Tribolium castaneum: one gene and its partner. The protein of the gene in region 1 purifies or fractionates together with the protein of each later gene. This does not show direct contact. Links are inferred from orthologs where the notes say so. Each region holds a gene or a part of one and is shown in the gene's direction. Other genes may lie near its edges. The genes, in order: Marf and park.

Region 1 (4,434 bases):
CAAGCAATAATTTTAAGACAGCTTCGTTATCCTGACACTGTTTTTTAAACTCGTGAAAACGGTAAAGTTCGTTCAGGCATGATTCACATATGTTCTGAGGCAACGAATCATTTTTTGTCACTTGTAAAGTTACGCAAGACTCCAGTAATTCAACTGCTTTAAAGTCCCCAATTATTGTGTCCATGATGGGCCTTGTTTTATTGTCCCCGAGACACGTGCGGCAGATTCGGTCAAAGTCACTCACAGTTATGGCTTTGGAAAAGTATTCACAACTCATTTTTTGTGGTTCTTGCCGAATAATTAACAGAAAACCATTTTTATGACCACTAATCTTACACCGATTTTATCAATGAAAAGGTGTTAAATAACACGAGATAATCACTTTAATTCAAACACCAACTCCACTTTTTCTAGTTTTAATACACCTAACGTAGGTATAAGCTGGGAAATTGAATTTTTTTGATAAATAAAATAATCACGTAACCTCACTTCCCGTGACAACTTGTCACGAAACTGGGGAATTTTATTTTTTTGGCGCCCAATTTAAACACGTCCAAACATTGGAAAGAAAATTTTATTGAGTACTTGAAAAATGCCAATATCTGTATCCATTTAGTAAAAAGTGGTGGAATAAACAAAATAAATTAGTAAGGAACCAACAACTACACTTAAACGCTACTTAAAAAAACTAGCTGACATTCGATGTGAATTTTGACGGCTGTATGATGGACGTTTTTCTCGCGGGTACGGTCTCAGGTGTAGGGATTGCCTCGCCAGTGGTGAATCCTGGCACAGGGACAGTCTTGACCTTATTGACACCGCCTAGCTTCTGCTTGGCCATTTGGTAATCGCCCGAATCGAAAAACTTCTGCCCTTTGGCCAGGCGCTTCTGCAGGAAGGCCGAATGGCCCCCCATGAGTCGGTTGGGGGCGCCTGACGACCCCCCGTACTTGGCTTTGAGCTTCGCCTCTTCCATTTTCTCCACATCGTGGGGGCTCATCTCGGGGGGAGTCTCTGACTCTTGATCTTGATCGCTCATTTCTAAACGCAAGCGTTGATCGAATCAACAGGGAATTAACTCAATTACCTCAAAATTGTAACAAGAGAAATCGAAATGACAGTTGGACAACAATAAGCGGTGACAGTCTGACAGTTGCTAATGACTACCAACGTGATAAAAACGAGATTCAAATTCTACACCAATTTATGGGAATTAATTGCGATTACAATTAGGAAATTATTGATAAGAGTCGGCAATTTATTGGTATTGTAGTTTTTGGGATTCTAGAATCTGGAGTTTGAACTAGTAGTCCAAAAATATTTTTTTTATTAACACAATCGCGTCACCAACCGCATTAAAAAGTTCCCAAACAAACGTCAACGTCAAAAATTAAAAACTCGTGCTTTGGAGGAATCGCCTCACAAAAATAATAATTACGTAATCAAATAACACAAAATGTAAGTTAAATCATACAAAGGGATTACAATTGTCGGTATGAACTTGTCGTTTTTTCAAATCTTGTCTCTAGATACGAAACAATTGAATAGTTTGACAGTTTTGGTGTCAAGTCGCCTATAAATATATTTATACCGATTTATTTATTTTTTGGGCTATAAATAGCGTATTTATACACGTTTAATGCGCCTTAGGTACGTATTTGCCCCGTTTTGGTACACATATCGATAATTCGCCTTAATTTTTCGAGGATTGTAAGTTGGGGTTAGATTACCCCGGACGTCAAGATGCCCACAAACGAGCAGGTTTTTCACACAATAATTTATGTCAATCACATGTCGCATGTCGCTTTTTATCCACAGAATAAATGTTTCTAAGTTGTAATGTTTTGTTTCAGTTGCTGCTGCTAGACGCATGGTAGATTGGCACCCCCTTGTTTGATGGCCGCTTATATAAACCGCACAATTTCGTTGATGGCGGGCGATGGCCCCCACAATAAAGCCATTCCTGCGAGCATGGTTGACCCTAGAAGCGCCCGACAGCCCCCTGACAACTCCCCTTTGCAGATTTTTGTCAAAGCCAAGAAGAAAATCAACGATATTTTCGGCGAGATTGAAGACTATGTTAAAGACGCAGTCGAGTATATGCACGGTGAGTTGAAAATTTGGCGACCTTGAAATGATCGCAAGTTGCAGAAATCGAGAAACTGCAAGAAATTGTTAACCAAGAAAGGGTTAAGAAAACTGAAGACTTTGTGAGTAAAGTGCACGGAATTCGCGATGTCTTGAGTCGTGACCACATGAAAGTTGCGTTTTTTGGACGCACTTCCAACGGGAAAAGCTCAGTTATTAATGCAATGCTGCGCGATAAAATCCTTCCCAGCGGAATTGGTCACACGACTAATTGTTTCCTACAGGTAAAGTTATTTTTGCGTCTAAAGCTAGAATTTTAAAAATTTTAAATCAATTTTTTTTCTTGAATTACTATTTTTTTTGACAGGTTGAAGGTTCACCGTCCGATGAACCTTACTTGGTTCTTGAAGGTTCCACTGAACACTGTGCTGTGGAATCTGTTGGCCAATTAGCGCACGCTTTGTGCAAAGAAAAATTGAACGAATCGCAAATGGTGCGCGTTTATTGGCCGCGAAATCGCTGTCTTTTGTTACGAGACGATGTCGTGTTCGTTGATTCGCCAGGAGTTGACGTTACGCCGAATTTAGACGAATGGATCGACAAGCATTGTTTAGATGCTGATGTTTTTGTTTTAGTAGCGAATGCTGAATCTACACTTATGGTTACGGTAACAAATAACCAAATTTTTTTGAATATCTTTTCGTTAATTGAATGTGTAATAGGAAAAAAATTTCTTCCATAAAGTCTCGACACGACTCTCAAAACCAAACATTTTCATTTTGAATAATCGATGGGACGCTTCTGCCACCGAACCGGAATTTTTGGATCAGGTGGGTGTTGAAAATTCACAAACACCTCGATTTTTGTTTGCATTGCATTGCTTAATAATTTTTGTTATCATTCTCCTTGTTTTGTCGCTTTTTTCTTGATAAGTTTATTGATTTTTTTTGTCCATAATTACATCAAATTTTCTCACATTTAAGCATTGCAATGAACAGGAAGAGGTGAGTTATTAGATTCACAGTGACACTTTAGAATTTAAATCTTCTATTAAATTAATAATTTTTTCTACAGGTCAGACGTCAACACCAAGAACGTGCCGTCGATTTTCTTGTCAAAGAACTAAAAGTTTGTACACCGAAAGAGGCCGAAGAACGAATTTTCTTTATTTCGGCCAAAGAAGTACTACAAGCACGATTAGCTGAACAAGGACAAACCGTTTCAACACCGCTAACTGAAGGTTTCCAGACGCGTTATTTCGAATTTCAGGATTTTGAACGAAAATTCGAAGAATGTATTTCGAAATCGGCCGTCAAAACCAAATTCGAACAACATTCACAACGCGGAAAATTCATAGCAAAGTGAGTACAGAGTCTAGGGAGTACTATAGGTTAGGAGGCGACGCGAGATGCAAAATCGTACCCAAAAAAGTTAGATGGCAGAATAAAAATTAGGGCGCTGCGAGCCTTTTTAGCAACCCTGTAACTATAGAGTTACAATACCAAACTGACACACTTTGTATAGTTCATGATACAATTTTTACATTATTTTAATCTCTTGCCACTGAGAATTAATTTATCTGCCTGCAATTTTTTGTTCGCCTTATTTAAAAGTGATTAAGTAATTTTTTTCAGCGAACTTCGCGAGGTTTTAGACGATATTTACAACGACGCGCAAAAACTAAAAGACGAGAAATTGCGTCAAAAGAAAGAAGTACACGACAAAATCAACTACACTGAAGAGCAACTAATTATAATAACACAAGAAATGAAGCAAAAAATCCACCAAATGGTCGAAGACGTCGAACAGCGCGTTTCCAAAGCTTTAAACGAGGAAATCCGTCGTTTGAGTACACTTGTTGACGAATTTAATCTCCCCTTCCATCCTGAACCTTTAGTTTTGAACGTTTACAAAAAAGAATTGCATTTGCACGTCGAAACCGGTCTTGGTTCAAATTTAAAAGCCCGACTTTCAACAGCTTTAGCAATGAACATGGAAGCGAGTCAACGCGAAATGACCGAACGTATGGAAAAATTACTACCAGCAAATCACAAAGCGGCGTCTAATTTTATTTTACCGCGTCGGCAACCGTTTGAGATTTTGTATCGGTTGAATTGCGATAATTTATGCGCTGATTTTACCGAAGATTTAGAATTCCGATTCTCTTGGGGGATTACCACGCTAATTCAACGATTTGCCGGCAGTGGCGCCAATTTCCTCGCCTTGAAAAACAAACGGGAAAGTCCGCAAAATTCAGTCATCCCCTCCACTCCAACCGACCAATACGATGGTCGTATTTTATACGGCGGCCAGCCTTCAATCATTGAAGATTGGTCGTTGATTTCG
Region 2 (4,527 bases), on another chromosome or scaffold:
CAAGGAAACGAAATAATTCTTCTAACCAACCATTTCGACAAAAACCACGCTTTTGAGGAGCTCAAGAATGGGGAGTTCCCCGTTCAAGTGTACGGCGACTGGCTTCCGAGACACCTCTTCGGAAGGTTCCAAGCACTGTGCGCTTACATCAGAATGATTTATTTAACACTAGTCTACGCAATTTTCTACCGTACCACTCAAAAGCCTGACGTGTACTTTGTGGACTTAATCCCTATGGCTGTGCCAATTTTGAAATTATTCGGCGAAAAAGTTATCTATTATTGTCACCACCCGGACTTGCTCGCCAGTGCGCCAGGGGGGGCCTTAAAAAATTTCTACAGGAAGCCCATAAACTGGTTGGAGTTAAAGTCCACAGCTCGGGCTGATATCATTCTAGTGAATAGTGAGTACACGGCTTCGGTCTTCCGGGAGACTTTCCCCCAAATCACAAAGACTGTACAAGTGGTGTACCCCACAGTGGCCTCCTCGTTCTTAGAAGCCGTCAAAAACACCAAAAACCCCAGACCAATCCACCAAATAATCCCAGAAATACCCCAAAACGCCGCCTGTGTCTTCCTCTCCATCAACCGCTTCCATCCCGCCAAGAAACTGGACTTGGCCATCAATGCGATGGAAATTTTGCAAAGAATCACCTCGGAAAATGAACGTAAAGGCATTTTCTTGGTTATGGCCGGGGGCTACGACCCCCAATCGTCCATAAACGCCAGTTATTTCACCGACTTGGAGAAACTCGTCGCTGAGAAGGGGCTCCAAGACAAGATTATTTTCCTCAAGTCGCCCCCCGATGACGTCAAGACGGAACTTCTGATGGCGTGTGACTGCCTCGTTTACACGCCCGTGAAGGAGCACTTCGGCATTGTCCCCCTCGAGGCAATGACGGTGGCTAAGCCCGTCATTGCGTGCAACAGTGGGGGCCCCCGAGAGACAGTCGACCACGGAAACACGGGCTATTTATGCGAACCGACCCCCGACAGTTTAGCGCAATTCATGTACAGGATATTCAAGTCGGATAACAAGGCAATGGGGCTCAAGGGGCGCAAAGTGTTGCAGGAGAAATTCTCAAATGAGAGTTTTGCAAGGAATTTGAAGAAAATCCTTGATCACACTAGTGTAAATAAGAAGTTTATTTAAATAAATATTTTACTTAGTCCAAGAGACCTTAGGTATGTCAAAGTGTTCCGTGAGCCCGTCCAAGTGTTGGTTGAATTTTTCTACTCTTTCTTTGTGTGTCATTGACGCTTTTTCCAAGATGCGTTGAGTTTGCTGCAAATTGTAACAATCAGGCAACAAATTTAACACGAAATGTGATTTATTTACCATTTTTTCTTGCTGTTTTAAGAACGCAAGTTCGGCTTTTGTTTTTTGCCTCGCAGGCTTTGATTCCGGTGTCTCACTTTCGACAATTTTGCTCACTTGCTCTAACAACTTCTTATCTTTCTTCTTCTTTTTCTTTTTAATGCTGTTATCACCTTTTAATTGCAATTTTCCCTTGCAAACTTGTGCGTATGGGTCGTCACTTTGCCCCATCTTGTTTGTTTTGACGTTTCTGGAATTTTTCACACAACAACCAACGTAACGGATCGACAATCCCCAAGAATGAGGTTATGAAATTTCCTCACAAAAAATGTTTTTTTCTAAAAATAAGCCCGGCCGCGGTTACCACAGATGATGAGTTTTATTATCAACGTAATTAAAGATTTGTTGCATAAGATGTTACAATTTCTGTCATTTAGTAGAAAAACGCTGAGCAATAATTTGAGTATTTACATAAAAACCAACACAGGGAATACGCTTTCGGTCGATTTGGACCCCACCTGGGACATAAAAGAGGTGAAAGAGTTCGTTGCGCCCCAATTGGGACTGAAACCAGGCGAGGTAAAGATTATTTTCGCTGGAAAAGAGCTGGGAGACAACATTAGTATTTCTGTGAGTTTTGCCCTCAATACCACTAGTCGTAACCAGTTAGTCATTCTAGGAATGTGATTTGGGCCAACAAAGCACCCTCCACGCTATCAAAATCACCAAAAAGCCCAACCCTCCCACTTTAAACAATGCCGTAATTGAGGAAAGTGACGAGGGCAAACCTCTGTGTGAGACCTTATCAGATTTGAGTTTTTCAAACGATGATTACGAGGAAGGGCCCACCGAGCAACGCAAAGTCCACTTTTTTGTCTATTGCCCCACGTGTAAAGCCCTCAAAAATGGGAAATTGCGAGTTCGGTGCCACTTTTGCAAATCGGGGGCTTTCACGGTGCACTCAGACCCCCAAAACTGGAATGATGTGCTGCAGCCAAAGCAGATAACCGGCCTTTGTGAGAATAGCCCCGAATTGTGCGCCAACGTACGTTTTTTAATTATTTAATTGAAATTAGTCAAAAACACTCCACACTAAAAATAGTACTGGACAAAATTTAATTTTCCTTTAAAATGTTTATAGTCAAAATATTTAAAGTTAAAAATATTTACGCTTACTAAGGAGCATTGCGAAAATTTTTAAAATGTTTGCAATCGTAATGTCCGCTCACCTAACTAGAAGCAGCAGATTCATTAACACCATAAGAGCGAGCTAAACCGAAATTCTGGTACAGGGAAATCAATGTTAATTTTAAAAACTAAAAGTCGCTGAAGACAATTAAAAACAATATACGCCAAAATATTTTCAGATACTTTTTTAAATTTCTTTTTCTATCATAAAGTTAAAATTTTCTACAGTTACCAAATTTATTGAATGTAAATCTAAATTTGAAATTTGGGTTACTACTGAGGGTCTCTATAACATTTTTAGAAAATGTGTTCCAGCTATAAATCAGGTATCTAGCCCAGTCAAGTTAGACCAGACAAGAATTGGGCGGTTGGTGGCAAAAATTCCTAGTGAGTTGGAATTTTTTAAACGCGTTCTTTAGATAGACAGATATTAAAAATCCCAGAGGATGGAGGCTGAGCTCGAGATGGGGGAGAGGGTTAAGTGTGTCATTTTTCGTTTTATTTCTTATACCACGGAAACAATCATTGTCGGTTTTCACCTTCTTACAAAAATTAAAGCTGATGAAATTTCCTACAAAAATTGGTCCTATGCACTTTTGTTATAGGACTACCCGTAAGCGAGTTATAGGACTGAAAAGAAATAATTATTTAAAAAAAATCTGCTTCAAAGTAGAATGTCTTGTGACTTGAAAAAATCCAAATTTTACAACTGTTTCAAATTGAAATGATGAAATCTCTAGTATTGTGTAAAAATTGTTATAATAAAAATTTTTTAAACGTCCTTGACTGATTGATTTTAAAAAAATTCACGACGATAAGACCAAGTTCCTTAAAAAGTTTAGTTAAAAGTTAATGTAATAAACATCATCAGGCTTTTTACTCGTTCAAATTCTTGGAAGTAAACATTAAAAGATGGAATTAACAATGACTTAATGACAACAACACATGCACACACCACCGCCTTTTGACACCAGTTGGTGTCTTAAAGTGAACAAGACAGCGTTTTAAAAATGGTGGATGCGCCGGGAGAAATTATCAAATTAAACATTTCCAAATACTACTTTGAATAACTTTAGTCAAAAATGTACAAGTGTACAGAAAATATAAGAAAAACAAGTGTAAAACAATTTACTATTAACAAACTGCAAATTAAAAAAATGGTGGATGCGCCGGAAAAATTAATCAATATTCAAAAAAAATAAAAATAGATGTTTGTTGTTATTTTCTGACAAATGTATACATGTTTAAAATACTTTTTTATCAAACATTAACGCAAGTAGAGCAAACTGACATGAAATAAGGCAGTGGTATTTTGACAATTTATTGAAATAACGTTATGAAACGTAAGTTTTATGGGAATTTTTGAATGTAATCATTTCTGGACAAAGACATGACTCTAGAGGCAAAACGGCTCATTTATCAGCGTTTATCAGCAAAACATTTCTATCTTAGTGACCTCTATAACACCGTAAAGTTTGGCAACATCATTTTGAACGCTGTATAAGGAAGAGAAAATTATGTAAAAATAAGTAAGAATCGCTCCATAATCAAAACGACACACAAGAATAATAGTTTAGATTTTTTATTAGATTACAATATTAATAATAAATTATAAACAAAGACAATTGGATTACCATAACTTTTCAATTCTCCTTTTTTACCTGCTTTTTTTTCTATCTTTGTACCTGTCTTAAATCATTTCTTTTAATTAAGTGTCAATAGAAATTACTAGTAGGTAGCACATAAGTAGGTAAATTTAATTTTTAATTCTTTTAATATTACCTTTTTTGAGATAAAAATGTATTCAACGGGAATCTACTAAAGCGCTACAATAATATTTTGTTTGTGCGTGAGATGCGTACAAAAGCAAAGATAGACAGTTTCGTTTGGTAACAGAAAATACTTGATCGATTTAACGACCTTCGCTAGAAATATTTTAGTTTAGCTTGCTCTTAAAACACAAATTAAGAACGACTATGATGAACACGGTAAAAACGACGTTAAATAAAAATATTTTTTTAA

Evidence for each region.
Region 2: the proteins of Marf (region 1) and park purify together in Drosophila melanogaster (affinity purification with western blotting; 3 studies listed by BioGRID). This does not show direct contact. The link is inferred for Tribolium castaneum from reciprocal best matches to the Drosophila melanogaster genes Marf and park.

What each region holds. Positions count from the first base shown.
Region 1 is NC_087395.1:26,386,708-26,391,141, forward strand, and holds the start of Marf (transmembrane GTPase Marf), read left to right. Parts: upstream 1-1,320; 5' UTR 1,321-1,458; intron 1,459-1,529; exon of another isoform or gene 1,530-1,650; intron 1,651-1,729; exon of another isoform or gene 1,730-1,761; intron 1,762-1,853; 5' UTR 1,854-1,896; coding exon 1,897-2,107; intron 2,108-2,151; coding exon 2,152-2,372; intron 2,373-2,455; coding exon 2,456-2,755; intron 2,756-2,810; coding exon 2,811-2,918; intron 2,919-3,071; coding exon 3,072-3,092; intron 3,093-3,162; coding exon 3,163-3,449; intron 3,450-3,722; coding exon 3,723-4,434. Other genes in the region: zinc finger protein OZF, read right to left, coding at 1-277; endos (alpha-endosulfine), read right to left, coding at 689-1,039. UniProt on the Drosophila melanogaster protein: Mitochondrial outer membrane GTPase that mediates mitochondrial clustering and fusion.
Region 2 is NC_087398.1:11,672,294-11,676,820, reverse strand, and holds the start of park (E3 ubiquitin-protein ligase parkin), read left to right. Parts: upstream 1-1,686; coding exon 1,687-1,947; intron 1,948-1,996; coding exon 1,997-2,362; intron 2,363-4,527. Other genes in the region: alpha-1,3/1,6-mannosyltransferase ALG2, read left to right, coding at 1-1,152; protein FAM32A, read right to left, coding at 1,162-1,284, 1,339-1,548. UniProt on the Drosophila melanogaster protein: E3 ubiquitin-protein ligase which accepts ubiquitin from E2 ubiquitin-conjugating enzymes in the form of a thioester and then directly transfers the ubiquitin to targeted substrates, such as Paris, Marf, Opa1, Miro, pnut, Septin1, Tom20 and porin.